4 linked regions of the Arabidopsis thaliana genome follow. The protein of the gene in region 1 interacts with the protein of each later gene in a pairwise test. Each region holds a gene or a part of one and is shown in the gene's direction. Other genes may lie near its edges. The genes, in order: bHLH38, AT5G61590, NTM1 and bZIP52.

Region 1 (7,496 bases):
TGGTCGGTTTGGTTCGATGTTCCAAAATCCGGTATTAACATATTCTTTTCAACTTTTTTTGTTTGATCTTTTTATTGCTCTATTTCACATCGTATCAAACGTATTCTTGGGAATCTCCTTTTGGTTTTCAGGACTTCCAAATTGATAAGGACTCATATGAATATGGTGTCCTACACCCTGTTGCTTCTTCGAAGAAGCAACCTTCTCTGTTAGATGAACACTTTGAAGCTGTATCAGATGATGACGAGAACAGTGATTCTGATGCATCACAGCCTTCAGATGACGAGGCCGACGATGGAGACGCAACTAGGCCAAGCAAGAAAGCGAGAACTCCGAAGTTAGTGTCTTTTGACTGCATTCCAGGATCTACATTTGACACATTCTATCTTGATTCTTTTGTTTTCTGATGTGGATGATTTGGTGTCAGGTTGTATGAAGTGAAAGATGAGCGGCATGCCGCAGCTTATCACAACCGCACTTCACTGGCTAAAGAAGATAGTCTTCCTATGGGCGAGCGTGTCAAGGCTATAGAGAACCGGCGTGGCAACTTTGGAGGCTCGAAAGATATCAAATTCGGTCCTGGAGGATCACGGGAGTTTTCTTTCAAGGCGAGAGGGTCATCAAAGTACAAAGAAGATAGAGACGATGAGTATGAAGATGGGCAAAGAAACAAGAGGAGAGGAGTTCAGTCTCTTGGACTGAAATCAACAAATATTAGAGGCGGTTTCAGAGGTAGAGGAGGTGGTGGTTTTAGAGGGAGAGGAGGCGGCGGTTCCCGGGGAAAAGGTGGCCGTGGTGGTGGGCGTGGAAGAGGCCGGCAATGATAAATGTAGCTTTTCAGGGGCTTTATTAGATTTGAAAAATGTGTCACCTACTATTGAGAATCTTGAAACTTAATTGATCACATATACAATTTTGGAATATTTTTGACCTGGTCTTCAATCAGCACAACAGAATTTGCTTACTTGAGGCTAAAGGTAATTGATTGGAAAGAGGATGACCTAAAGTTGACCCTAGTTCGATAATGATTTATCAATCCGCATGATAAATCACCGACCGAGGGTTGTTAATAGCTAAATTAACAAAGCTAACATTGATTTAATAAAGTAATTAAAGAAGATGCTTCTGGTTTTTTTTTTTGGGAGGTCAACAAATAAATAAAATGCTTATGTATATGCTTACAACATGAGAATTGCTTATGTATATGCTTACAACATCCAAGTGTTTGGGACTAGGAAGACGCCTGAATCTGATTTACACGCGTCTTCCACAATTTCTTCAGGCTGAGTCATCTTTCAATATGTAAACTCTAATACTTAATACATGTAATATTCTTCTTTAATTTTTTATATAGCCAGTCTACTTGTGACTAGACCTTGTTCACCCGTGGGACATAGGCTTTGGCATGTGTCGACCTACGTCCTCAGATCCAAACATTCTTCTTTATAGTACAAGTCGTATAACACTTATAATATAGTTTGCGAATTTTTAAAGTTTTGGTTGTATAATAGTATAGTTTGTTAATTTATACTTAACCATAGAGATTGATATATTGAATTGTATATATCCGCATTATATATACGTTGGACAATAATATTCTACCTAAGTTCAGAACAATCCTAACCAAAGCAGCTTCCAAGCATCTAGAGAAAACAGAATCTACAATACTTGTCCTTAGTAAGCAAAAATGTGTGCATTAGTACCTCCATTGTTTCCAAACTTTGGGTGGCCATCAACGGGAGAGTACGACAGCTACTACCTCGCCGGAGATATCCTCAACAACGGCGGGTTTCTTGATTTTCCGGTACCGGAGGAGACTTATGGAGCTGTTACAGCGGTGACTCAACATCAGAATAGCTTTGGTGTTTCTGTTTCGTCGGAGGGAAATGAAATAGACAACAATCCGGTGGTCGTCAAGAAGCTTAATCACAATGCTAGTGAGCGTGACCGTCGCAGGAAAATTAACTCTTTGTTCTCATCTCTCCGTTCATGTCTTCCTGCCTCTGGCCAATCGGTAAGAAGCTACTCCGACTCATTGATTAGACCCGTTATAGTTTATGCATCTATACAATTTAGAAGAAGAATACTGCGTTAAACCTTTTTTCTTTCCTTTCTTGCAGAAGAAGCTAAGCATTCCTGCGACGGTTTCTCGAAGCTTGAAGTACATACCAGAGCTGCAAGAGCAAGTGAAGAAGCTAATAAAAAAGAAGGAAGAGCTCTTGGTGCAAATTTCAGGTCAAAGAAACACTGAATGTTACGTTAAGCAGCCACCAAAGGCCGTCGCGAATTATATCTCGACCGTTTCTGCGACTAGGCTTGGTGACAACGAAGTGATGGTCCAAATCTCATCGTCCAAGATTCATAACTTTTCGATATCTAATGTTTTAAGTGGGTTAGAAGAAGATAGGTTTGTTCTTGTGGACATGTCATCTTCAAGGTCTCAAGGAGAAAGGCTTTTCTACACTTTGCATTTACAAGTGGAGAAGATTGAAAATTACAAGCTGAATTGCGAAGAGTTAAGTCAGAGGATGTTGTACTTGTATGAGGAATGTGGAAACTCATATATATGAGAATTTGGTCTTGTTTCTTTATAGTTATGTTATGTCGTCCTTTTTCTCTTCGAAATCTAACATTCTTGACAAAGCGTTGTAGTCGAGTTGTTTCGTTTTTTTGGTCGAAGTCAATGATCGATTAGTTATGCTATTAAGTATAAACTGATTATTATGAAGTTCATGTTACAGCTATAAACTTTAATTTTCGCCTAGACTTTGAATGTTACTAATAAAAAATTTGTTTATGTATATCTTGTTATTTATATCCAGTTAAGACTAGAGTTAGTGATGTTTTGGTGTATCAATAGAATATAAAAACGAGAAAAGACAAAAGAGGGTATTTTATTAACAACTACTATATATCACTACTTGTGGGCAACATTATAGTAAAGAGTCTATGGGCTCCAATTTAGAAGATAAGTTATGTAATTAAGCCAAGTTGCACTTATGAATTAATAGATTGTGGTGACATTAAAGAGTTAATTAAGATTTATTAGGATAAATGATAAATGAGAAGCCATGTGGTTATCCATTGATCCTTTTTTTGTCAAAGGGTTATCCATTGATCTTGGAGTTATTATATACTAGAGGCAGTTTTTTTAATCAGAGTGGCATCACAGAAAAAAGTTTGGAGTATTGGTTTTGAAAGAGTTAAATCTTTGGATTTTTAGTTTATGTTTGTTTAAAAAAAGAAGAAGAAATGTATTGGTTTACTTGGCTTGGTTATAAAATATATGAGATCGAATAAGGATATGAATTTACATGATGATAACTGTAGCTTTCGGAGATTATCATATTAGCTTAGAAAATGTGAGTCACGAAACGAATGTTGGAAACTTCATTGATTCACAATCACATATACAATTTTGGAATATTTTTGATCCATTCGTGAAAGAATAACTAAATCAGAAAATATATTACTTTAGACACAAATGGGATCAAGTTGACATTAGAATATAAAATGACCATCGTCATTGTGGAATTAAAATAACCAGGTTACATTTATTTTAGATAAAGATATTAAATTTTGAAATGCTTATGTATATGCTTACAACATGAAAATGCTAGTTTATGCTTACAACATAAAAAATGTATGGGACGAGGAAGTAAAGACGCCCAAAGCATCTTCCACCTGATTACCACGAGCTCTCAACATTCTCACTCGCATGAGTCATCTTTCAATGTGTAAACAATAATCTTACTATCGTGTCATATACATGTTTGATTCTTACACAATATGCTGAGCTTGTGACTAAACCTAGTTCATGCGTGGAACATAGGCTTCGACACGTGCCAACCTATGCCCTATAGAGACCTAAATATTTCTCTTTATAGTATGTAAGTCGTATAACACAATCATATAATCTCAACGAATAAAAACACTTATTATATAGTTTGTTGAACAATATTTAACAACAGAGATTTGTTTCTTTAGTCTTTCATCCGCATATATAATCAGGAGACTATAATATTCCTACCAAAACAACTTCAAGAAAAAAACAGAATCAATAACCTTGTCCTTGATTAAGCAAAAAATGTGTGCATTAGTCCCTTCATTTTTCACAAACTTCGGTTGGCCGTCAACGAATCAATACGAAAGCTATTACGGTGCCGGAGATAACCTAAATAACGGCACATTTCTTGAATTGACGGTACCACAGACTTATGAAGTGACTCATCATCAGAATAGCTTGGGAGTATCTGTTTCGTCAGAAGGAAATGAGATAGACAACAATCCGGTTGTGGTCAAGAAGCTTAATCACAATGCTAGTGAACGTGACCGACGCAAGAAGATCAACACTTTGTTCTCATCTCTCCGTTCATGTCTTCCAGCTTCTGATCAATCGGTAAGATCGCTAGTAGCTACTCTGATATGTCATCTACATCTGTTTCTAATAAGCTCGTCTATACAGCTATACAATTCTAAAGAAGAACACCGAGTTAACCCTTATTTCTTTTTCTTTACTTTCTTGCAGAAGAAGCTAAGTATTCCTGAAACGGTTTCAAAGAGCTTAAAGTACATACCAGAGCTGCAACAGCAAGTGAAGAGGCTAATACAAAAGAAGGAAGAAATTTTGGTACGAGTATCGGGTCAAAGAGACTTTGAGCTTTACGATAAGCAGCAACCAAAGGCGGTCGCGAGTTATCTCTCAACGGTTTCTGCCACTAGGCTTGGTGACAACGAAGTGATGGTCCAAGTCTCATCGTCCAAGATTCATAACTTTTCGATATCAAATGTGTTGGGTGGGATAGAAGAAGATGGGTTTGTTCTTGTGGATGTTTCATCATCAAGATCTCAAGGAGAGAGGCTCTTCTACACTTTGCATCTTCAAGTGGAGAATATGGATGATTACAAGATTAATTGCGAAGAATTAAGTGAAAGGATGTTGTACTTGTACGAGAAATGTGAAAACTCGTTTAACTAGGTGACTAATTCATATAATGGTGTGTTTATCCACTAGTTCTCATTTCTTTTTAGCTGTGTCCTTTTCTCATATGAATCTAACACTGATCTGGACCAAATCATTTGTGTACTGAGTCAATATTGATTGAACAAAACAATATAAACAGAGAAAAAAAAAACATTCACTGCTACAGATGTCAACTGTTGTTACATAGTTTATTAGAAAATCAGAACATTTAAAAACTTAAAAGAAAAAGGTAGTAGTGTATATATATACCTAAGCCCTTTTTTCTTGAGCCACAAGAAAAGCTGTGAAAGCCAGAAACAGAAGAGACTTGTTTCAATTATCCTCAGTGAAGACCTTGAAGATGAAATCACGGAAACGTCTCGAGTACAGCCTCGGATCGACGGCTGAGATTGAAGTAGGATCGTACTGGATGCTCTTGTAAGCGTGTTCTAGTTTCTTGCTGATATCATAGTCTTGAAGAATGTCTATGATTCCAAAGATCATGACAACCTCATAGTACTCTCCTGTCGGTTCGCCAACTAGCTGGAACTCACAGTCGCTTCTCCTCATTGTCCTCTCTGCTCGAGCCGGCATGTTGCCTCCAAGTCTGATACTAGCCCACCTGCAACAGCCAACAGATTTATTCTTAAAACCGAAATCGAGAAAGTTGCTTTCTAGGATTGAGTTTAATTTGTTTTGTGTTTACCTTGTAGGATCAGAGAGAAGCTGATCCACGTCTGCTCTAGAGAGACGAGGGGCTGATTCGTCTTCAAATTCACCTGCAGTTGCGAGAAAGAAACATATACATTTGCTTCACGGGTTTCAAAGGAGAGATATGATATTTGGTTTTGTTAGGAAAGCGAACCAATAGGTGTGCGAGCTCCAGAAGGAATCAGCTCTCCAGCGACTGATGCCTCTCTGAAATGAATCCCAACCAGAAGACTGTAATCCATTATTCTCTCCTGTTCTAGAAACTCGCAGTCTTTGTCGACTTGCCTGAACAAAAACACAATCAGCATAATAAATAACAATGAAAAATGTCAATGGAAAGAGAATGATTGATGAATCTCCAACCTGATGAATTCTTGGTACCAAGCTTTCTGTAGTCTAAAAATGAAATTCAGATCAAGATCTTTCAAAATTGTATTTGAATTGATTTCCGATTCAGGTTTATCGGTTGTACGGCCAAGAGAAGATCCTTTCAAATCAAAGCGTCTGTGGATGGAGTACTCAGAACAAAATAGGTTTCCCATAATGACAAACCGCACCTGCAATTTGCAATAAAGGAGATGATATATTCAATCAAAATCCAAGTCTCAGTTTTTTTGTCTGTTTAGCATTGTTCTTAATTCTTACCTTCTTTTGGATTGGTCCAGTTAACTTCACACAGTGGAGACCGTAGAATCTAATGACCAAAGTGTTCTCAAATGCTCGAACATGGTTGTAATATGCTGCAAGCATCCTCAGAAGCACCTGCATTATATAATTCCAGAATAAAGTTAATAGCAGCTACATATTTTTCATCTTGTCATTTTAAAATAAAACAAACTCACTTTAGTTTCAGACTTCTTCATTGTCTTTATCATGTAACGATCATCATTTGTCAAGTAGAAAAAGCTTCCACTCTTACCAGGGGATGATAGCTCCCGAAGGGCATCATTCCCGCAGATCGATAACATGTAATCAGCTGGGTCTACCTTGAATAGCTTCCTCAAGCTCCTAAAGATAGATAAAATTAGCATAACAGTGTGTGAGAATACGTACAGATGGGAAATAAGTAAAGCCTAATGTTATTTGATCTCACCTAAAAACTAATGGGCAATAGTCTTTCCATTTGAATTCACTAGATTGATGAGGAGGTGTGTATTTGGTTCCTTCTGGTGGAAATCTTGTCCATACCTTCTCCTTTGGATCAAAAGCCGAATGCTTAAGATCAAGAGACACAACCGGAGCTTGTTTTCCAACAGCATGTCTGCGTAAGCAAATACATTTCACATGAGCGCTTATACATCAACAAAACTTCAAATTGTATAAATGAGGCAGCAAACTGGGATATTTACCTGATTCCAAGCTGTAGATTAAGCATAAGCTCGTAATTCCGGTGGCCTTTAGATATCGTCTCGCCTTGCTTCCTCCCTGCCCTTGGCAATCTCATAGGTGCAGGGCTCGGTCTCAGGCTCTGAATGAACCCTTCAGCCTCTAGTCTCATCATTTCAGCATCCAAGTCCCTCCTCGTGGTGGAATCAATATCAGCAGCACCTTCTCCGCTTTCGGTTCCCCACATATTCATCTTCTCAAACGCTCTATCTACACCCACACTTACCCTCCCGTCAACAGACATCCTCCTCGGTTTCTCGACACGTTTGGAAGAGTTCCAAACAGATAGCTTTTTCTGTGAAGGCAACACAGGAACTCTCTCTCCGCTGCAGATCTTGTACTCACTCAGATTAGTAAACACGTCTTTAGGATCCCATTCAGGACTCCCGTCGTCTCCTGATGGATAATAAGTACCGTTCATCTCTTCCGGATCATT
Region 2 (7,516 bases), on another chromosome or scaffold:
CAATTCAACTTCATTTTATTTTATTTATTTATTTTGCCATCATTCAACTTCATTTCTTGGATGAAACAAATTCAACATTCAAAATTTTTTTTTTTTTAATATATATATAAATTATAGATATTCCATTATACTTTAGTTTCCATTGAAACCACTATTTGATGGATGATTCTTCATTTATTCTTGTCGACCAAATTAAACTTCTAATGGTTTTAGGTCTGATTAGTATTTCTTTCAAAAACAATTTTCTTTTAAGAGAAAAGGTCATATTACTAAGGAATAGCAAAGAACTAAAACTAATAAAACAACTAGCTCTAAGCGTTTTTTTGTGCATCACTATAACAAGAGACGTGCACTTTTAATTAGTAGTTTAGTACTATATAAAACCCTATTACTTGTGTGGATTTCGACCAACCTATAACAAACAACGTTTCGGTATAATTTTAAGAAGAATATATCACAACAACAATGTCATCATTATATTTTGCTATCCTTTGCCTCTTCATGATTTTCCTCGTTCCTTTACATGAATGTAAGTACATACATTTTTGCATGCATATAACTCATCATCTACCATCGCAATTATAGTTAGTTTTAACTCCTATTTTCTCTTTTGTTATAGTTGGAAACGCACAAGGTTCTGAGGCGGAGCTGCAATTAGATCCATCAATGTGTCTGCGTGTCGAATGTGCAAAACACAGAAATCAAAAATGGTGTTTTTGCTGTGCCGGACTACCGAGGACCTGTTTTCTTGATAAACGAGGCTGTACGTCTGTCTGCAAGCGCGAATCTCCTTCAATGGCTTAAGAAACTTGAAGAACCCATATCTACAATTTACTAATTACGTTTAAATTTCTCTTGATATATGAATAAATATAAGTTTATGGAAAGGAAACAATTACGATTATGCTTATCGTAATTTAACATATTTTTTTTTATTTTTTTTTATGTTTATGGTAATTGTGTTACCATTGCAATTTGCATGTCTACGAATTCGTCTTGCATTGGTAATCCAATATTCCATGTGATGCTTTTCTTTCTAACTGAAGGTATTCGTGAAAACGAATTCAAGATTGTGGGAGATAATTAGGGTTTCGTCAAAAGCATGAATTAGGAAAATTTGGGATTGATTTTTTGAATTTGGGAAAAGTCCTAATTTTAATTCGATCAAAGCTTAAATGATGTCGTTTTGGGCTGACTAACGAAGTCGTTAACAGGTGCCAACGAGTGTTAAAAATCTGTTATCGCTTGATAACTCTTTGGTTTTTTAGTCTAATCAACACATTCTCATGTTTCAAACAGTTAATCAACATATTGTTCATGTTAAAAAATTAACACATGTGAAATTGATATATAAAAATATCATATATTTTCAAAAGTTGGATCATTAAATAAAATTTTTCCCTATTTTTGAAATAATTCTAAAACAGTATTAAAGATATTTCCTGAAATTGTTTGCATGTGATCGGTTTTGGACCGAAACTAAAAAACTTAGAAACTATATTAACTTTGAGTTGTCGAGATGAAGATGTGAAATAGAAATATAGGATCAATGGTTAGAATTTTGGCAAATGTATGAAGGTGTGTTTGATTGAATATTCCAAGTCCTTTGCCTTTTGGAATTGGCATAACTACTACAACAAAGTTTTGATAGGTTTTCCGAATTCTTTAAACTCCTTAAATTTTTAATACATCTCAATCAAACTCCACTTATACTAAAAATAATCCATATTGCATTTTTAAAAATTCTAAAAGAAGAATCACATGATAACTTGATAAGCACTTTTAAATGATAGATGTCCACGTAGAGGAATAAGACAAAAAGACAAAATAAAGAAAAAGGACGAAATCTAAAGAGAGAAAATAAGTAACAAGTCCAAGAAAAGGTAGTATGATCTTTCTCGGTCCGATCCTCGAAACTCCCTCGAAGGCTCGAACCCTCTCTTTGTTTTTTTACCACTATATAAGAAAGTCCGATTCCTCGTCACTCTTATTCCCACTTCCACACATACACATATACAACAGAGCAAGAGAGTCAATCAAGTAGAGTGAAGATGGCAACTAAACAAGAAGCTTTAGCCATCGATTTCATAAGCCAACACCTTCTCACAGACTTTGTTTCCATGGAAACTGATCACCCATCTCTTTTTACCAACCAACTTCACAACTTTCACTCAGAAACAGGCCCTAGAACCATCACCAACCAATCCCCTAAACCGAATTCGACTCTTAACCAGCGTAAACCGCCCTTACCGAATCTATCCGTCTCGAGAACGGTTTCAACAAAGACAGAGAAAGAGGAAGAAGAGAGGCACTACAGGGGAGTGAGACGAAGACCGTGGGGAAAATACGCGGCGGAGATTAGGGATCCGAACAAAAAGGGTTGTAGGATCTGGCTTGGGACTTACGACACTGCCGTGGAAGCTGGAAGAGCTTATGACCAAGCGGCGTTTCAATTACGTGGAAGAAAAGCAATCTTGAATTTCCCTCTCGATGTTAGGGTTACGTCAGAAACTTGTTCTGGGGAAGGAGTTATCGGATTAGGGAAACGAAAGCGAGATAAGGGTTCTCCGCCGGAAGAGGAGAAGGCGGCTAGGGTTAAAGTGGAGGAAGAAGAGAGTAATACGTCGGAGACGACGGAGGCTGAGGTTGAGCCGGTGGTACCATTGACGCCGTCAAGTTGGATGGGGTTTTGGGATGTGGGAGCAGGAGATGGTATTTTCAGTATTCCTCCGTTATCTCCGACGTCTCCCAACTTTTCCGTTATCTCCGTCACTTAAAACTTCGGAAAAGTCAACGTACGATGACGTTTTCACTTGCGTCACTCTCATGATTTCATTTATTCTTGTATAATATAAAGGTAGCGGTAGTGTGCAAATATCAAATAAGTAGTTTAATTAGTACCAATCATTTTATTCATTATTTTTTTTAGTAGAATATTTGGATGTTGAAAATATAAATTTAATTTTGTATTTGTTGATGTTATAAATTTATTGATTGTATAAACATTCTTAGTCATCAGTTTCGTTAAGTCCATATCTAAACACTTCATATCTGCTAAATAGTCAATAGATTATAAAATTGGATCAGGAAAAAGTAAATCGGAGCTATAAAAAAATAGTGTGCAACGAAAAGACAATTAATTAGTTAAAAATACATACAAATCTAAACAAATTCAAAATTTCAATAGTGGAAAACACCAATCAAATGGATAATGCTGTCGAAGATTATCTACAAAGCATCAATAAAAGTAAATAATTAATATTATCTTACATGCTATTATAAAAGATTATGAGATTAGGAGTATAATTGTCAAGCAACTGAGCAAGAGGGTAAGGTTTGGTTATTATATATGTGGAGCCCTATACGAAGTTATGTAGAAACAAAGAAATATCAAGTTGCTTCAAATCATATCCTAGCAAGACAACCCTACAAGACAAGCAATTTGATGAATTTGTCTCTCCTTTTTATTCGAGTGAAAGTCATTATCTTCTTATCTTTTTACTCGAATGTGAATATGCAAAATATCTTTTGATATTTAAGAGCTTACCTAGTGAGTCATTACTACTACGAAAATCATATATCAATCTTATCATAAAACTTTTAAGATAAAAAAAAAAAAGAAAAAACTTTTGAGAGATTGGCTTTTAAAGACTTAAGTTACGATTATAAACACTAGTAGTTCAAGTCTTTTTGGTTTTGGTTTGTGTTATGTTTTAGATTTAAAATTTCAAATGAACCTACGTCCTTAACCAACTCAATCAAAATTCTAGTTAAAAAAAATAATCACCATTTTGTTAGCATTCAGCTTAGGATTCGAACCATGGGTAGCTCAAGGTATTTTAAACTCTAGAGGAATAAAATGGATGTTAGTGAAATTTGTCAGCATCATAGACAAGATCAAGTTGGCACAACTTGAAGGGTCCTGACAAAATATCTTAAGTTGCCTCCATAAATGTTTAATGGATAAGACTTGGCCCCACAGAGTTAAACCAGAGAGACACAGAGAGAGACTTTTGACACCTCACCCATGGCTGCGTTAACACATGTTTAGGATTCCTTTCTTTATATAGCCAACAATATCATCAAAACTTTTTCTTCAAACACCACTTGCAGTTTTTCTTATTCTCCTGTCTTGTCTAAAGAAAAAAGAGAGAGGAAGAAATGGAGACTTTTGAGGAAAGCTCTGATTTGGATGTTATACAGAAACATCTATTTGAAGACTTGATGATCCCTGATGGTTTCATTGAAGATTTTGTCTTTGATGATACTGCTTTTGTCTCCGGACTCTGGTCTCTAGAACCCTTTAACCCAGTTCCGAAACTGGAACCTAGTTCACCTGTTCTTGATCCAGATTCCTATGTCCAAGAGATTCTGCAAATGGAAGCAGAATCATCATCATCATCATCAACAACAACGTCACCTGAGGTTGAGACTGTCTCAAACCGGAAAAAAACAAAGAGGTTTGAAGAAACGAGACATTACAGAGGCGTGAGAAGGAGGCCATGGGGGAAATTTGCAGCAGAGATTCGAGATCCGGCAAAGAAAGGATCCAGGATTTGGTTAGGCACTTTTGAGAGTGATATTGATGCTGCAAGGGCTTACGACTATGCAGCTTTTAAGCTCAGGGGAAGAAAAGCTGTTCTCAACTTTCCTTTGGATGCCGGAAAGTATGATGCTCCGGTCAATTCATGCCGAAAAAGGAGGAGAACCGATGTACCACAGCCTCAAGGAACAACAACAAGTACTTCATCATCGTCATCAAACTAATGGGGGAATAGTGATGTTTAATTAGTATATATAGGTTAATATCTTAAGTATGTGAAGCATCATGTATAGAGCCAAGAACCTGTTAGACTAGTGTACTGAAAAGAACTCTTGCAAAATATGTACTAAAGAGTTCCTGTAACAATGGAACTTCTGCGTTTTCTCTTGTCTTAAAGAGCTTAAGGTTCTAGAAACAAAGTTCTTGTCCTTTCGGTTTATTCAGAGTACACTATTTGGGAAGACAAGAGGACCTAAATCTATCGACTACATTTATTTATTAATCTACTGTGATACTTAAAATCGAATTTCTACCTGAAAGACCTTAACATAAGCCTTAAAGTTTCTCCAATGACACAAACAGTACCGTACAGTGGCTTCAGTATTCACTATTCGATATCACTGAGGTATTAATTAGTTCACATGTCCAGAAAGCGTGAATCAGTGAATTGAGTAGAAAGATGAACAAGTTGCAAGAGGGACCAAGTTTAAAGAATATAGCAGCCAGAGTTTTGTCTCATGGTTGGGTACAAGTCAGCATTCATTTTTTAAATATGACAAAGAATTGGATGGACCACACGCAACAGCTCAAGAGGGGAGAGATGCACAAGTTGCAATATGGAAAAGTAAACAGAGGAAGATATGTATTAACATCTCAACCTCATCGTTGAGATGGATGTTGATTATTATTATTAGGAATAACTAAAACCAAAGAATTCTTATAAGTTATAACAATGAAATTACTTCATGGTTTTTTGATAAAGATATCTCCTATGCATATATATCTAGTATACATTTGGAACAGTTGATGAATATCAACTGACCTGTTTCTTAGATAGAAGAGATCTTCATGTTATCGATCTTTTCTTGAGTTTCCATGTCGATCACATTCTGCAATGCTCCTTCACCAGTCAAGAAACTCGGTTGATTTGTCGATGCAAGGAGTCTAGCCCACATCCTATCAGTTAACTTCACCGTATTTGTCACTTCCGTCACCTGCTGCAGAAGTAAAAAATCATGGGATTAACTTTAACCACAAAGGTTTAGGACTCAATGATTTTAGTCTAAGAATGATTAGAGAAGTAAAAGAGAAAAGCTTACAGAAATTGGGATGTAAGCATGTCTACTGTTAACTGGTCCTACAGTGAAACCTGAGTACCCAGCCATTGCTCCATGAACTGCACTTTGGGCAAGAAGAGTGCAATAGACATTGTCTGATGCGTTACTCGGTATTGCTCTTATCATATACGTTGGGTCTGTTCAACAAGTACATGTCAATGAAATGCACAGAAGAGTGTTAACTGTTGTTAACAAGATAGAGACAGTGAGTCTGAAGATATACCTATGTACTTCATATTTATCATCATTTTCCGAACATTTGTAAAGTGATCCTGCAACATAGTGGTCACAAGATTCATCTTGAATGTTTGAGGGAAAACATATAGAAACCATTTTCTTAACTTTCGAGTTTCGACCAATACCTTTATCTGTTGAGTCAACCATAGACCAACATCAAGCAAGAGTCTATTTCCTGAGGCGTCTTTAGTTTCAGATGCACGCATGCTTTGAGCAACATAATCCTGTCCAGCTCCTTCAGCTATCACAATAACCATGTGCCTATTCTCTTTGAGTCGTTCTTCAATAAACTCAAAGAGCCCACCCTTTCCTTCAAGAAAAAATGGAGACTCTGGAATCAAGCAACAATCCTGTCACATTTCAAAGCTCCCATTGTTATACACCACAAATAAAGAAAGTTTATAGTGACAATTTAACAATCAAACTAATCTATTACCACATCACGATTCGCTAAAGTTGCAATCATGGCAATAAAACCTGCAGAATTTGTACCACAAGTTAACTTCGTATTCACAAAAGAAAGTAATCAACATATGTCACAGAATATTTACCACTGTATCTGCCCATGAGTTTAACGATACCAACTCCATTTTCCACGCTCTCGACCTCTACATGTGCAGCATTAATAGCTCGTTGTGCTTCCTCAACCGCCGTATCAAAGCCAAATGATTTGTCAATCACCTAGAACAATGGATGAAGAAGATGTATAAGAAACTCCACATGAGAGAAAAGTAGACCTTAAGTTGAAAATTATCAATGGGTATTTACAGCAATATCATTATCAATTGTCTTAGGAATGCCAGAAACCGCCACTTGAAGACCACGCCTCTCAACTTCCTTCACAAAATATGAAGCAAGTATCAGTAGAATTACTAATGCTACATTCAGCATTCAGTAATATGTGATATGAAATAACCTCGTATATCTTCTCTGCACCCTTTTGCGTCCCACCACCTCCAATAATATATACCTGACATACACATTGACAAAATATTAGGATGGCTCAGCTTCAATACAAACTAAACTACATAAAAATTATGGACAAAATGGAAATCAGTTATGTTAGCTACCTGATTTATTCCTCTATCTTGAATATTATCAACAATCTTCGCTGTATCATGTCCTCCTCTTGAGGTTTGAAGAAAAGTGCCACCGCGTTTATGAATATCGTTAACTACTTTAGGTGTCAGGTTCATAGTGTTTTTGGAGTAAAAGCCTCTATATCCTCCCTGAATGCCGAGAATGTTATTAACACCATACATATTGTTCAATCCACATACAATTTCCCGTATAACAGTATTGATTCCAGGGCACAAGCCCCCACAAGTCACTATGCAAGCTTTTACTTCATCTGATCTGAAGTACACCTGTATAACCAAAAACTTAACAGGTTTCAGTT
Region 3 (8,383 bases), on another chromosome or scaffold:
AAAAAATGGTGAAAGATCTGGTTGGGTATAGATTTTATCCAACGGGAGAGGAATTGATAAACCATTATCTAAAGAACAAAATTTTGGGTAAGACTTGGCTCGTCGACGAAGCCATTAGCGAGATCAACATCTGTAGTTACGACCCAATTTACTTGCCTTGTAAGTTTCCTCACTTCAAAATCATCATCGTTGTCTCATCATCGGTCATTTCTAATTCTGGATTTGTTTGGTTGTTGTAGCTTTATCGAAGATAAAATCGGATGATCCTGTGTGGTACTTCTTCTGTCCAAAGGAGTATACTTCTGCGAAGAAGAAGGTAACGAAGAGGACTACAAGTTCAGGGTATTGGAAAGCTACTGGTGTTGATAGGAAAATCAAAGATAAGAGAGGTAATCGCGGCGAGATTGGGATAAAGAAGACGCTTGTGTATTATGAAGGTAGAGTTCCTAAAGGTGTTTGGACTCCTTGGGTTATGCATGAGTATCACATCACTTGTTTGCCTCAAGATCAGGTATAATAAACTCAGAGTTTCTTGAATTTGAGCTTCTGTGTTAGTTTGACTTAGCGTTATGTTTCTGTTAGTTGATCTTCTTGAATTGGATTTGGGTTTGATTCATCTGTCCCTGTGTTGGTTGCTATCTTTATCCCAATTTGAGGTTAAAGTCATGTTCTTGTAAGAATAGATTTGGGTTTGACTTATCTTTTCCCTATGATGCTTAGTACATCAAGTTTAGGTTCTGTGTATCAGAGTTTGAAGTGTTATATATAGAAGTTGTGGCCTAGAAGGCTAGTGTATTTGCTTCCCTGTGTTGAATATATTACTGTAATCTCCCCTGTGTTGGTTGCTATCATTAGTACGTTCTGTGTTGTCACAGAGTTTTAAGCGCTATGTATAGAAGTTGTAACCTAGTGTTCTTACTTCTGCCAAAGCTTGTGATTGTTTGAGTTATGTGTGTTTGATTTTTTGTTTTGTTGGCAAAGAACTTATGTGTGTGTGTACTTTTGGAATTTGTTCAGAGGAACTATGTTATCTGCCAAGTGATGTATAAGGGTGAAGATGGAGACGTCCCATCTGGTGGTAACAACTCGAGTGAGCCGAGTCAATCTTTGGTCTCTGATTCGAATACTGTCAGAGCTACGAGTCCCACAGCGCTTGAGGTGACTCCAGTTTCTTTATTTGATAATCTCATGTACTTGATTCGTTTACTCAAAACTCTCTTTTACATTTTCAGTTTGAGAAGCCAGGTCAAGAAAATTTCTTTGGTATGTCTGTGGATGATTTGGGGACTCCAAAGAATGAACAAGAAGATTTCTCTTTGTGGGATGTACTGGATCCAGACATGTTATTCAGTGACAATAACAATCCTACTGTGCATCCACAAGCTCCTCACTTAACCCCGAATGATGATGAGTTTCTCGGTGGATTGAGGCATGTTAACCGAGAGCAGGTTGAATATTTGTTTGCCAATGAAGATTTCATATCCAGACCAACCTTATCTATGACCGAGAACCGCAACGATCACAGGCCAAAGAAGGCTTTGTCAGGGATTATTGTTGATTATAGCAGTGATAGTAATAGTGATGCTGAATCGATATCTGCAACGGTAAAGCAAATCACCCGTTTTCTTTATCGTTACTTCTGTGCTGTAATCTCCATTCTCACATTTTGATTATATTATGTCAGAGTTACCAAGGAACATCAAGTCCAGGTGATGATAGTGTTGGTAGTTCGAATAGACAATTTCTCCAGACTGGTGGAGATGAGATTCTATCGTCTTGCAATGATCTACAAACCTATGGAGAACCTTCCATCAGTAGTAGCACCCGGCAATCTCAACTCACACGAAGCATCATACGACCAAAACAAGAGGTTTTGCGTTGCTCTTATGTTGATTCTATATGATTTCAACATATGTTGGATATATAAAGATAATGATTATGTAACTTTCCTTCACAGGTGAAACAAGATACATCAAGAGCGGTTGATAGTGATACATCCATAGACAAGGAGTCATCTATGGTGAAGACAGAGAAGAAGAGCTGGTTTATTACAGAGGAAGCAATGGAGAGAAACCGCAACAATCCACGGTATATCTATCTCATGAGAATGATCATAGGCTTCATTCTCTTGCTGGCTCTCATTAGCAACATCATATCGGTGTTACAAAACTTGAACCCGGCGATGAAGTTTGATCGCGAGAGATAGACAAAAGCTAGCAGATTGATCAAAGCACTCGTTTTTACTTTGCTTTTATTTATTTCTATTTTCTTCCGAAATTTTGATGTATATATGTGTGTGTATGTATGACCAAGAGGTATGTCTTGTACCTAAAGTTAAATAAAATTTAGGGTTTGAAAATTTTATAACATTTAGAGCGGGTCCATAGTTCAGTGCCGTGGTGGAGCATTAGACTGCTGATAAAGAAAACATTCGACAGAGACCAGTGAATGGTTTGAAAGGTTTCTCAAAGATTTGGTTTGTTGATAATTAAGAGAATGATTACATACCGGACAAGGGACTGGTCTAATGTGATTGATACTTCGATGATCAATCAATCAAATATTACTTCGATGATCAATCAATCAATCAATCATATTACTTACAACTATGTAATATGATTCTATGAACCTTTTTCTTGTTTTTTGTAAACTTTAATCCCTTATCTTGCAAGCCAAATCCATAGACATATATTTTACAAAATTAGTAGTAGTACTATATTGAAGTAGAGAAAGTAATAACGCCATGTCGTCGTCGTCGATGGTGGCGGCTATAATTTCCGAAAGATCCTTCGACTCAAAATACACAAAAAAAACAAGGAAAAGAGAAAGGTTCATACTTTCGTTCGAAGCTCCGACAATGAACCGTCAATAATTTGCCACGTCTTCATTCTCATTCACAATAAAAATAAATTTTGTTCCTCTCATTTGTCAACCTTTTTTGTTTTTGTTTAAAGAATTTGTCAACCTATTGGAAAACATTTTGCATTCAATTAAAATCTTATCGCTAACAGTTTTTTGTTTTTTGTTTTTTTTTCAACTATCTTATTTATTAACAGTAGTAAATTTGTTATAAAATACATAATATTACATTTCTTCCAATACATAATTGATATCTAAATATCCGATCGTTGTAAATTTGGAGTTTCATTCATCTTAAAATGTGTGAAAAATTACGGCTGATGTGTGACAAACACAAAAGATAAAAAGTTACTAAACACAATTTTTTTACAAAATTAAATTGAAACGAAAAAAAAAAATTTAACAAAAAACTAAAAAGAAAAAACATTTTAGAAATAGACACAAGTCATCAACACGGTTTCGGCGCGAGTAGACTTCACGGCTTTTGTTCTTTACTTACTGAGAAATTACTAAAATTTGGTTTTTTTTTTTTTTTCAAATAGAAAAAAACTATAAATACCATCACTCGCTATCTCTTCACCAATCACTTCCTACTTGTATTTGAAAAAGAAAGAAAAACAGAGAGAGAGAGGGAGAAGCCAAAAAAAAAAACAGAGAAGCAGAAAAAAATAAATTCCTTCACCCAAACCCTAGAATTTTTTTTAGAAAGTTTTGTTTTTTCGATCTGTTTCTGTGTGAAAAGATGATGAAAGGTCTGATTGGGTATAGATTTAGTCCGACGGGAGAGGAAGTGATCAACCATTACCTAAAGAACAAACTTCTGGGTAAGTATTGGCTCGTTGATGAAGCTATTAGCGAGATCAACATCTTGAGTCACAAACCCAGCAAGGATTTGCCTAGTAAGTTTATTATGAATGATCTTGATCTGTCTCTCTTTGTATCATCATCGATCATTTCTAAATTTGGGTTCTTTCTGTTGTTGTTGTTGTTGTTGCTGCTGCAGAGTTAGCTAGGATCCAATCGGAAGATCTTGAATGGTATTTCTTCTCTCCGATTGAGTACACGAACCCGAATAAGATGAAAATGAAGAGGACGACAGGTTCTGGGTTTTGGAAACCTACTGGTGTTGATCGGGAAATTAGGGATAAAAGAGGAAATGGTGTTGTGATAGGGATTAAGAAGACGCTTGTGTACCATGAAGGTAAGAGTCCTCATGGAGTTAGAACTCCTTGGGTTATGCACGAGTATCACATCACTTGCTTGCCTCATCATAAGGTATAACAAATCCTTCAGAGCTCTTTTGGTTCTGTATCTTCCATTTGAATTCTGCTCATTTTTGTCTTCTTCTTGATTTGGGGATTTTTGAGCTCTGTGGTTGTGTAAAGATTCTAACTTTGAGTGTTTTTGCTTCTACCAAAGCTTGTGATTGAGTTGTTTGATTGATGTGTGTTCTGTTTTTGTTGTTTGGCTGGCAAAGAACTTGTGTGTGTGAAACCTTTGGAATTTGTTTAGTATACATCTAGTTTGATTTGAGGTTCTGTGTTATTGTTGTTTAAAGAGTCTCAAGAGTGTTTTTGCTTCTACCAAAGCTTGTGATTGATGTGTGTACCTTTTGGAATTTGTTCAGAGGAAATATGTTGTCTGCCAAGTAAAGTATAAGGGTGAAGCTGCAGAAATTTCATATGAGCCAAGTCCCTCTTTGGTATCCGATTCGCATACCGTCATAGCGATTACCGGAGAACCGGAACCTGAGGTGAGTCCAGTTTCTGAGATGTTTCATTATGATTCATTACTATCAACCTGTGTCTTTACTTGTTGTTGTCTCTTTTTACAGCTTCAGGTTGAGCAGCCAGGTAAAGAAAATCTCTTGGGTATGTCTGTAGATGATTTGATAGAACCAATGAACCAACAAGAGGAGCCACAAGGTCCTCACTTAGCTCCGAATGATGATGAGTTTATACGTGGATTGAGGCATGTTGATCGAGGGACGGTTGAATATTTGTTTGCCAATGAAGAAAACATGGATGGTTTGTCTATGAATGACTTGAGAATCCCAATGATCGTCCAACAAGAGGATCTCTCTGAGTGGGAGGGATTTAACGCAGACACCTTTTTCAGCGACAACAACAATAACTATAACCTTAACGTGCATCATCAACTAACGCCTTACGGCGATGGCTATTTGAATGCATTTTCGGGTTATAACGAAGGGAATCCTCCCGATCACGAATTAGTGATGCAAGAGAACCGCAACGATCACATGCCAAGGAAACCTGTGACAGGGACCATTGATTATAGCAGCGATAGTGGCAGTGATGCTGGATCCATATCTACAACGGTAAAGCACATCTCTCATTTTCTTTATCATTACTTCCCTGGAGTATATTCTGTATTCTCAGCTTTCCATTCTAACCTGACAGAGTTACCAAGGAACATCAAGTCCAAATATTAGTGTTGGTAGTTCAAGTAGACACTTGTCAAGTTGCTCAAGCACAGACTCTTGCAAAGATCTACAAACTTGTACAGATCCTTCAATAATCAGTAGAGAGATCCGGGAATTAACACAAGAGGTCTTGAGTTGCTCTTATGTTGATTTTGTTGCTATTTGTTTGTATCTTGTAATCTAAAACATATGTTGGACTTTAAAGATGATGATTATGTGATTTTCCTTTTCAGGTGAAACAAGAAATCCCAAGAGCTGTTGATGCACCCATGAACAATGAGTCATCTTTGGTGAAAACAGAGAAGAAAGGCTTGTTTATTGTAGAGGACGCAATGGAGAGAAACCGCAAGAAACCACGATTTATCTATCTCATGAAGATGATCATAGGCAACATCATATCGGTTTTACTACCCGTCAAAAGATTGATCCCGGTGAAGAAGTTATGATCGCGAGAGAGGCAAAGCAGATCGATCAAAGCACTAGTTTGATATAGGAAAAGGAGGACTAAGAAGAGTATACACATGGACGGTGATGATTAAAAAAATGAATCAACGGCTGAGATGAAGCTATCAGAGATTGTTGGGTTTTAAAGGAAGCTGAAGATCAGAATTGAATTTTATCGTGAAAATTGTGAAAGTTTGTTATCTTCTTCTCCATTCTCTGTTTCTATGAGAATTCTCTATGGATTCTCATGGTTATTTCCTCATTGTAGCTTGAGCTGTTTCTTCTTCTATGCTCTAGCAATTTGAGAAGTGAATCCGTGTTTTATGAACATTGATTCAATCTATCATTCGATTTGTGTTTCATAGAGAATGATAAGCTCTGGAACTTATCTAAGATGAAAAGAACAGAAAGAAATGGAGGGAGAGAAGTATTGCATCTTTAAGGTGGAGAAGAACATAGATAAGAGAGAAATTTAGATTAGATATTGTTGTTGATCGTTTTCGATAACCATTACAGAGACGAAGAAGAGTTTAAGTAGAAGACAATAAGAGGAAATTGGGCTTAACACTAAGCCTAATCAAAGCCCCACTAAGGCCCACTCATCTTCAGTTTTGGTTTCTATCAATACTCCCCTCGTGAAGAGCCAGCTTGTCCTCAAGGTGGAAGAAAGTGGAACTCCGAAGCATTGGTAATGACTTTATACGATCCATCACCCGCTCTCAATGATGTTGGATGTGTGTCCGGTTCAACCGTTCGATTGCGAAGATCTGGGCCTAGCTCAATGAAGCCAATGAAGTTCTCGGTTGAATCGAAATCTGAATGTAAACCATCAAGAGTTGCCAAACCCCACTTATATCTAATTGCATCACATTGTGTTTTGTACTGAAGCTCTGGACTGAAACCTTTGGACGATAACCTGAAAGCATGTTTCAAAAAACAAAAGTAACCATATGTTCTTTAATGGTGAAGAGACGTGACTTCCCTTGCCACCCCTGTTATCTTGTCCTTTACACTTCTAGTGCATAACCACAACTTGCTTCCAAACTCACAATTCCATTTCCCTTGGTCTTCAAGAACAGTAGTATTCTTAAGTAAGTTCAGGCTCTCTATAAGCATCAGTTTCATCCCAAAAGATCCATTTACCATCATATCTTTGAATCCCTGCTGCCTAATATAGCTATTATGATTCTCACAAAGGAGAAATTCAAGCTCAATCCTCCATATCTTCCAACAAACCACCAAGCAGTATAATTGTAACACCCCACTCCCACATAGTTGGGCCAATTTGTTTTGACATTATGATATAGCTCATAAATGGCCCAATCTCTTTTTGATGACAAACAACAAGGGTTTTGTAAGTGTCATATATATTGGGGTATTTAAGTCCTAAACTAAGTCAGCCACCATCATCATTGTTGAGACGTGAGTTCGTGAGCCTTTGTTATCGTTGTCGTAATCTCCGCATTATCAACGTCGAGAGAACCTATTGATGTTCCACCTCTTTGTTCATGTCTTCTTCCAACATCAATGTGTTTTGTTTCTCTATAACCAAACTGCCATGATCTGGAAAGAAAAGAAAGGAGAAGAATAAAAATTGAGAAGATCGTGAAAGAGAAAAAGAGAAGGAAGCGGAGATGAAGGCGGAAACATGACGGAGGATAAATCATCACCACCACGAAGGAGAAACAGTGGGAAAGTGATTCATGTTCTTAACACTAATCAGAAGTATTAAGTGAAGAAGACCGAACCAGATTGAAGCTTGGCGAAGCAAAGAAAGAAGAAGAAGAGAAAAGAGGGAGGAAGAACAGTTTCAAGATGGGGTTTTGTAAGGATCGTTCCAGTGGCATCAGAGAGACTCAAGTAAGGTGTAAGGTGTCTTTGGAAAGATAACGATATCAAGAATCCATAGCCGCTGACAGAATTGGAATCGAGTATATATTCAAGAAGTTATGCACGTTTCTTTCATGACAAGTAACTGCAAAGTCTGTCAAATGCAGGAACCCCTAAATGACAGTTCGAGATGGTTTGTTGATGACAACGTTTGGAGCTTTTAATGAAGTCCGATCATGCTGTAAATTTGTGGAGTTATTCATGATACTTCTATCTACATATTCAACGGTGAGATCACGTTTCTAACGGTTAGTTCCTGAATTTTGAGTATGTTTCCAAGACAGTTTTATTTGAAGTAAATAGTGATGAATTTGTGTTGTTGGTTGGGAAACGAGTTCGATTAGAGCTGAAGTTTTGCAGGAGATTTCATGACTCATGGATTCAGTTCTTAGTCGAGGGAGAACCAAGTTAAAGCTTATGAGCATGTAGTTGTGGTAAAGGTTGAGAAAGGAGAAGTGAATCTTCATCTTCAATTAGGCTAAGGTGAGGGTGGTATTTGCGAAACATGGTATCATTTTCTTTTGTTATGCTTCTTGACGCATGATATGTAGGCTTAGATCTGATTGTATAGGATTAGATTACATGATGATATGACTTTATGGTTGTTGAGTATGATGTTTGATAATGTGATGTTATGTATGATATTATAAGTATATGTATGTTAAATATGATTATGAGTGTATGTATGATGAATGTATGACTGGGGAGAATCGAGCTATGGGCCGTGGTTTCCCTAGTGATGTGGAC
Region 4 (7,767 bases), on another chromosome or scaffold:
TTTTGACTTAGGTCCCTGGAATTCATGTCCGACAACCAGAAATAGATGAGGTTAATTCGCCTTCGCTAAGGCTTGCACGACTATATAAGGAAGCGTCTAGATAAGTTATAAGACTTACAAATAACCAAGGTTCGGTATGCTGCTAAGATCAGGCACTGGCCCTTGCAAGCTGCAGTTCCTAAGACTCCTGCCCGTGGGCATACGACAAATATGCATAAGTTAGCATAGCATACACATGTATCTTATGCCCAAAAAGATCAGGAAAAAATAGAAAACGACAACCAGTATCTCTACATTTAGAATGCACTATCCTAATTAGCTCAAATATGGCTGATTACTATTCCCACAGGTTAATTCAAATCCAATGCATGACTTTCGTATTGAATTGTTGAATGCATTAATAGAAGATGACAGCCCTTCCAGCCTCACACATCAGTGATTTCAGATACATAATGAAACTATCACTTACATCTTCAAAAGTTTAGACATGTTTCCATAAGATTGTGGAATCGTAGTCCCGTCAAAGTGATTGTTATCTAATTGTCTGCCAAAATAAACATGAGGAAAAAGGTCAAAAAAAAGAAAAGAAGAAACACATGGGTAACCAGTCCTTATGGTGACAGGACCAGGGAAATCAACAGAAACTGTGACATAAACTTACAGGATAAGTAAACGCGGCATGTTTGATAACTCAGGGGGAAGATAGCCTGATAAATTGTTGTTATCAAGAAGGCTGTAAGAAAAAAGAAAAAAAAAAGTAAATGTTCATAAACATTGAATAGGTAAAGCGTGTGTAGCATGTTCTAGACATGAAAACTGAGTTTAGGTAAAAAACATAGCATTTTTCAAGTAAAATCATTTAAGCCTGCTACTGCTACCAACTCACATGTGAACAATGGATGGTAGGCTTCCAAGCTCTGGTGGTATCTGCCCGCTAATAGAATTATTGTTCATGTGACTGGAAAAAGATAAGATTGACCAAAAAAAAGCAATAAATGTAACATATTCAAGGGGAGAAGGAATCACCATATTGAAACAGCCAAGTACAACTCGACACCAGATTAAAGAACTCACAAGTGCTTCGTTTTGTTTAAGTTTGCAAAAGATTTGGGAAGTGGTCCTGATATACGGTTTTCATCAATCTGTATTCTGTCCAAGTTTGGAAGAAACCCTAGCTCCTCTGGTAAGTTTCCATTTAACAGATTTCCATTCAGGAGCCTGGAAAAGTGAAGTTAGCAGCCAATCCCAAAGCAAATAAAGCAGGGAAGTAAACAACAAAGTCCTGGACTAACAAGAGTTCTAAGGACTTGATATTCCCAATTTCCTTTGGTATACTTCCGGTGATCTTATTCCACATGAAACTCCTGGCATTAGAGAAGAAGTTGTACAATACAAAAAGAAAGTTATTCACCATTGAGTATGACAAAAGATCAAGCAACATATCGTGTTAAAAACACGTACAGGATAGTAAGACGAGACAACCGGCCAAGCTCCGGAGACAAGTTCCCTGAGAGATTCATACTGAACAATTGCCTACAAGTATAAACAAAGCTAACTCAAACAAATCTCAAGGAAGACCAAATAAAAGAAAAAAGCAAGAGTGAAGAAGACAATACAATTCGCTGACATGAAGATAACCATCATCAAGAGTGGAGTTGAAGCAGACAACACCAGTCCAATTCGAATTGCACGGGTCTCCATGCTTCCAATTTCTCAATCTATGAACAGGATCGTTCAAACTTTCTTTGATCACTCGCAAAGCCCTCACTAAAACCAAAAAAAACATCAATGATCAGTACCAAATCAGTCGAAAGCTAAGAAAACCCATTGTCACAGACACAAATTGTCTGAAGATCTAACACCAAAGACAAAGCCTTTTAACAACAACAACAACAAAAAAGAAACCTTCAACGGGATTGGTGATGTCGTCTTGAGCAAAAGTAGAAGAAAAGCAACAGAAGAGGAAGAAGAAGAGCAGAGGTATGAGGAGACGAGAGACATGATGGGTCGAAAACATATCGAGAGAGGAGGAAACAGAGGAGACCCAAGGAAAAAACGAAATCTCGAGAGAGAGAGAGTTTAGAAGGAAAAGGCCATGACCAAGTAAGAAACACAAGACAAAGAAAGAGGAAAGTAGTTGGTATTGGGTGGGAGCATTGAAGAGTGATAATACGACATTTTCTAAGTTTGACTATTTCAGGTAATGGATGAGACCGACGGAAGAGCGTCATCATAAGTTTCCGTTGCGCCGCCGCCATAACTTCACCACCTTCTTCCGTCAAAACCATTCTACTTGCTATTTTTCTTCCTTTGTTTAATGATTCCTTGTCTGACCTGTCTTTGACCTTTTTGTCGTTTTTTTAATCCTTTTTTAATGACAGTAGGTAAATCTCTTGCCAGGTGCGATGAATTTCCAAATATTGTCAATAAAGTTACCTTTTTATCCCACCTTGATTTTTTTTTTATGTATTAATTAAAATTTAAAAACGTATACCATTAGCAAATAGTAGCAATCATTGGTATATTGGAATCATATAGTATATGGCAATTTGGTCATCGATATCGTATCTTTATGTGCATTTTGGCCCCCACGATACTAAAAGTCACGAAATTTTCCAAAGTATCGACTTTTATTGGAAAATGGTGCTGATTATCAACTGATTTGTAGAAGTGTGATTAATTACCTGTAGTCATTATGATTTTCTTGAACAAAAAAAGAAGAAACAGAAGATGTATGTCACTATGTCGTATCATTACGAGAGGGAAAAAAAAGAAACAGCTGGAATAAATTACTCAAATAAGAAAAGAAATACAATGGGCACTATTAAAAAGCATAGACATGAGCTATATATTATTTATGTTTAGAGAAGAACTTTCCAACAGAATTTGGTTTTAAAAAATACCCGTTAGGTGACAATAAATGGGAGAAACTATATCTTAAGTATGTTCATTATTTATATATAAAAAAAGGGAGAATCACAATTCACAAGTATGTTGATAAATAATAATAAAACAAAAAAAAAAAAGACAAAAGAAACTTTAGCTGGTAAAAGTAAGCATCATTAGGTTTTTAATTTGAATCACTATTAAATGATGCCGGTCCACTACTTGCGTTTAAGACAATTTAGAGAGACTTAACTAAAAAACTTATTACTTAAAGCGATCAATACGACCATCTTTTTAATTATTTTGACCGGTAAACAAAGTGATGCCCAATTGCCAATTTAAGAGAAGGCCCAAAACATCCTCCTGTCCACTACAGGCGCATTATATGCTCGAGGATTTCTTAAAACAAAACAATACTTGTCTTCTTGTATGGGCCTGATAATTAAGGCCTCCGTATGATTTAGATCCAACCAATAAGTATTTTTCACTATAAGTGAATTTTACTTGTTTCCCAATCCATAGATAGTTCCATACCAAGTTACCAACTTATTATCCCACAAAACATTCTCTCAGACTCTCAGTTCATACAAGGCTTTCTGCCTATTTTTTACTTGTTAAAATTTTGACTCAAAGATACAAAAATATACACTCAGACGTGGGGAGATGTAATGCCATAACAGCTTAAATTAATAAATTTCGTTGAAGCAACTACAGAATCTTGTAATGAATGCTACAAAGAAGATTTAAAGTTAAACAAATTTAAATCATGAAATCGAATAATTAAATAAAATACAAAGAAAAAGGAAAAAAAAATAAAAAAAAAAGGGAGGGAGACAAGATGCTGCGATGGTTCACGTGCCAATGTGCCTTTTACTTTTCATCAACTAGTTTTCTTTTTAATTATTAATAAATCAACTCAATTTCGCAATTTTATAGTTAGTGACGTCACTTCTCTCTCCTCACAGAGTCGAGTTTCTCTCCTACGCTCTTCATTTCATTTCATTTGATAGAGAGAGAGAGAGAGAGAGAGAGAGAGAAAGAGCTTCGTCTTCTTCATCTCCATCATTATCTCCATTGACATTGTTCTCAATTGCGAATAATAATCATAATTATTCACACAACCAAAGCATTCATCTCTCAGATTCTCTTAAAAAAATGGAGAAATCAGATCCTCCACCAGTCCCAAAGCCCGGCGCCACTATTATCCCCTCCTCCGATCCAATTCCTAATGCCGATCCGATTCCATCTTCTTCCTTCCACCGCCGATCTCGCTCCGACGATATGTCCATGTTCATGTTCATGGATCCCCTCTCCTCCGCCGCACCACCTTCCTCCGACGACCTTCCCTCCGACGACGATCTCTTCTCTTCTTTCATCGATGTCGATAGCCTCACCTCTAATCCCAATCCCTTTCAAAATCCTTCCCTCTCCTCCAACTCCGTTTCCGGCGCTGCTAATCCTCCTCCTCCTCCTTCCTCTCGTCCTCGCCACCGTCACAGCAATTCCGTTGACGCTGGATGCGCCATGTATGCCGGTGATATCATGGACGCTAAGAAAGCTATGCCTCCTGAAAAACTCTCTGAGCTTTGGAACATCGATCCCAAACGCGCCAAAAGGTCCTTCTTCTTCTTCTTCAAATTTGTTTCTCTTTCCACAGAATTGAAGAATTGCAATGAAATTAGGGATTTGATTACAGGATTCTAGCGAATCGACAATCTGCAGCTCGATCCAAAGAGAGAAAAGCTCGATACATTCAAGAACTTGAGCGCAAAGTTCAATCTCTTCAAACCGAAGCTACCACTCTCTCTGCTCAGCTTACTCTCTACCAGGTTTCCATATTCGGCGATTCCTCGTTTGATCCCAACAGAATAGGAAAGTTCTTTCCTCTGTTTTACATACATAGACAGATCTTGATTTCAATGTTGTTTTGATTGATCCAGAGAGACACAAATGGACTAGCAAACGAAAACACAGAGCTGAAACTTAGGTTGCAAGCAATGGAACAACAAGCTCAGCTTCGTAATGGTAAGCACAAAAAAAAAAGAAGCTAATTTCTTTGTATGCATTTTGGTGCATTTCTTCAATATTTGCTTTTTGATGTTACAGCTTTAAACGAAGCGTTGAGGAAAGAAGTTGAAAGGATGAAGATGGAGACAGGAGAAATCTCTGGTAATTCAGATTCGTTTGATATGGGAATGCAGCAGATTCAGTATTCTTCCTCAACTTTCATGGCTATTCCACCATATCATGGCTCAATGAACCTCCATGATATGCAGATGCATTCTAGTTTCAATCCTATGGAGATGTCCAATTCTCAAAGCGTGTCGGACTTTCTACAGAACGGCCGAATGCAAGGGCTGGAGATTAGTAGCAATAGCTCAAGCTTAGTCAAATCTGAAGGACCTTCTCTCTCTGCTAGTGAGAGTAGCTCTGCCTATTGACGACAAGATTATGATGAGGCTCATTTTTCTGTTAATAGGTTTTTTTTTTTTTCAATTCATTTGATTCACTTTTGATTATTTATTCTTTCTTTTTTTTGAGGTGCCATTGTGCAAGAAAGGACGTACGTATACATTTGTGTTGGTTATGTGTCGTGAGTTTCGTTGTTTGCTATTCCCATTGTTTGTTCTTCAAGGAACAAAGGAGACTAATAAATTTCATTTTTCTTTTGTATACAATGATGTTTGCTACGTTTTGTTTTATTTTACTAGGAGATGGAGATGTTTAATAAGTTCATTCCAATTGGGTTAATAGTTTGATTTTGGGATCAATGATTTTGATACGACAACACCAAGGCAGTTCCTCAGTAGCTTCTTCTCCAAGACACCCTCACATCCGTCATCCCATTAGAGTTTTGAGACAACTTCTCCCAACCGGACTTCTCCATGAGACAAAATTTCCCAAACTTGGAGTCGGAGTTGAAATGAGAGACGAAGCATTGAGAGATTAGTTTTTGAGACTCTGTAAGACTGTTAACGAAAATATTCGACCTTTGAAAGACATCTAACACGATTCAACCTTTAAGCAAAGACCCATTGTTGGAGAGAACCAACAAAAGTTCCAACCTTTCCAAACTGAGCTAGCAAGAACAATAGAACATGCATAACAATAAGAACGTGGAGAGTTTAGAACATTGTTACCATGTTATCAGACGAAACATCTACTCTCTGGACTGTGGACGTCCTTGGAGAAGCTCGGTCTATTTCGCAAAATAACTTCCAAAAAAAAAAGGAGAGAGCTCAGAATGGGGCAATATCAACTGATATTCAGTAGAATGCATTGGACCCAACCAATGCTAAAGCCAATTTCTTCACAGCTCATGCACCAGCCGGGAATCGAACCCGGGTCTGTACCGTGGCAGGGTACTATTCTACCACTAGACCACTGGTGCTTTGATGACAATTGTTTTGTTTTAATATCTGATATACAATAAAACCACATTTAAACCAATAGGCCCTATTTGATGGCGATACGTAATTTTATTTTTTGGGCTTTTTCATCTTTTGCCAGTGGGAATTTGTGAATTGTGAGTGTTTGTTTCTAACTTTCTATGAAATCGAAATTTGAGAAAATTGTGAGAAATTCAAGAGAATACATGTAAACTAGGGTTCAACAAGTAAATTGCCCCCACAAAACTATGCCAAAAAATGAAAAAACAAAACAAAACATGCCGATAGACAAATTCTAATCCGTATGAAGCCTCGATGTATCTTGAGCACAATATAAATATTTGATTAAATAGAAGCATTTGGGAAGACAACGAGAGATTAGTGTTTGGCTAAAAGAAAAAAAAACGAAACAGAATCCATTTTGTTAATTAGGTTGTGGTCAAACTCAACCCAACTAAGTTAACGACTAATTATTTAAAGATAATACTGATTAATTAAGAAATATCAACGAAGCTTCGGGCGAACCTTAAGAGAGAGATGACGTATGTGCTGCGGTCATTCACTTTCTTTATAGTTTTCCACATACACACTCCTGCGCCCGGTCCCAGAGCCTTTACCTTGTTACGTCTCTAGTTCATAACTACATGTCTACCATGTATTATAGGGATATCAAAATGGTCTATACATGATTCATTATTTCATATATCTAGGTTATATATTATTTTCTTATAGTTGATTTATAAACACCAAAATATCTTTAGCAAATGTTAATATGTGACAACTGACAAGAAACATAGGTTGTGCTAATGTCTTTACTTTAAAATTCAAATCGGCTTAAAAAATTATGTTCTTACGAGCAAAAGATTGAAAAAAAAACGATGAAATTTATCGTGTGCTTTTATTAATTGTACATCTAAAAATGTATTAAACAATTTTGCTCAGTACAACAAAATTCACAATTGTAATTTTGTGAAATACCCACTCCACCATCTTTTTATCAGATAATTCTAATTTATTTTTGTCAATGTTATAGCCATTTTTGATACTTGCGTATTTAATTATGGGATATTATGAATAGAAATTGTATATTTAAAGGCCCATTTTTGGCCCTAAATGTAATTGATGACTCAACTCAACCAACAACAAGAAGAAGAAGACTCTCTCTGCTTTCGACCAAAACCTTCTCCTCTCCTCTGGGAGATCTCCATCTTCTTCGCTTCTTCGCTTCCCCGCCTGAAACAATTACTCGATCTCGCCGGCGGAACAAGCTCTCCGTTTCTCTTTCCGGCAGATCGATTCTTCCAATTCCTTATTCCTTTCTAGGTCTTCCTTAAGAAACCCTTACTTTCTTCAAAATCTGCATTTATGGCGATTAGGGTTACCTTCACCTACTCCAGCTATGTTGCTAGGAGCATTGCTTCATCCGCCGGGACTCGTGTCGGTACCGGCGACGTTAGATCATGCTTCGAAACATGGGTTCGTCCCAGGTTCT

Evidence for each region.
Region 2: the proteins of bHLH38 (region 1) and AT5G61590 interact in a two-hybrid assay, tested with the Arabidopsis thaliana proteins (one large-scale study listed by BioGRID).
Region 3: the proteins of bHLH38 (region 1) and NTM1 interact in a two-hybrid assay, tested with the Arabidopsis thaliana proteins (one large-scale study listed by BioGRID).
Region 4: the proteins of bHLH38 (region 1) and bZIP52 interact in a two-hybrid assay, tested with the Arabidopsis thaliana proteins (one large-scale study listed by BioGRID).

Annotation. Positions count from the first base shown.
Region 1 is NC_003074.8:21,081,686-21,089,181, reverse strand, and holds bHLH38 (basic helix-loop-helix (bHLH) DNA-binding superfamily protein), read left to right. Parts: upstream 1-3,936; 5' UTR 3,937-4,087; coding exon 4,088-4,399; intron 4,400-4,528; coding exon 4,529-4,978; 3' UTR 4,979-5,147; downstream 5,148-7,496. Other genes in the region: EDA7 (embryo sac development arrest 7), read left to right, coding at 1-31, 132-337, 428-824; bHLH39 (basic helix-loop-helix (bHLH) DNA-binding superfamily protein), read left to right, coding at 1,688-2,014, 2,121-2,570; PIP5K4 (phosphatidyl inositol monophosphate 5 kinase 4), read right to left, coding at 5,297-5,585, 5,670-5,742, 5,829-5,959, 6,038-6,231, 6,320-6,436, 6,517-6,682, 6,768-6,935, 7,024-7,496.
Region 2 is NC_003076.8:24,761,904-24,769,419, reverse strand, and holds AT5G61590 (Integrase-type DNA-binding superfamily protein), read left to right. Parts: upstream 1-3,908; 5' UTR 3,909-4,161; coding exon 4,162-4,767; 3' UTR 4,768-5,164; downstream 5,165-7,516. Other genes in the region: AT5G61605 (EMBRYO SURROUNDING FACTOR-like protein), read left to right, coding at 466-529, 620-804; ERF104 (ethylene response factor 104), read left to right, coding at 2,052-2,777; PFK4 (phosphofructokinase 4), read right to left, coding at 5,593-5,760, 5,863-6,017, 6,104-6,152, 6,243-6,467, 6,554-6,594, 6,669-6,798, 6,886-6,954, 7,034-7,087 and 1 more.
Region 3 is NC_003075.7:667,848-676,230, reverse strand, and holds NTM1 (NAC with transmembrane motif1), read left to right. Parts: upstream 1-3,441; 5' UTR 3,442-3,601; coding exon 3,602-3,758; intron 3,759-3,862; coding exon 3,863-4,134; intron 4,135-4,486; coding exon 4,487-4,612; intron 4,613-4,693; coding exon 4,694-5,197; coding exon of another isoform or gene 5,198-5,279; coding exon 5,280-5,429; coding exon of another isoform or gene 5,430-5,486; exon of another isoform or gene 5,487-5,535; coding exon 5,536-5,748; downstream 5,749-8,383. Other genes in the region: NAC069 (NAC domain containing protein 69), read left to right, coding at 6-159, 240-511, 1,018-1,158, 1,233-1,604, 1,685-1,870, 1,958-2,206; AT4G01535 (uncharacterized protein), read right to left, coding at 6,401-6,641, 6,720-6,892. UniProt on the Arabidopsis thaliana protein: Transcription activator activated by proteolytic cleavage through regulated intramembrane proteolysis (RIP) mediated by calpain or its functional homolog. Regulates cytokinin signaling during cell division.
Region 4 is NC_003070.9:2,101,192-2,108,958, forward strand, and holds bZIP52 (basic leucine-zipper 52), read left to right. Parts: upstream 1-3,856; 5' UTR 3,857-4,041; coding exon 4,042-4,502; intron 4,503-4,582; coding exon 4,583-4,715; coding exon of another isoform or gene 4,716-4,817; intron 4,818-4,826; coding exon 4,827-4,911; intron 4,912-4,992; coding exon 4,993-5,327; 3' UTR 5,328-5,558; downstream 5,559-7,767. Other genes in the region: AT1G06840 (Leucine-rich repeat protein kinase family protein), read right to left, coding at 1-15, 119-187, 470-544, 662-733, 887-958, 1,075-1,218, 1,293-1,364, 1,462-1,533 and 2 more; Plsp2A (Peptidase S24/S26A/S26B/S26C family protein), read left to right, coding at 7,641-7,767.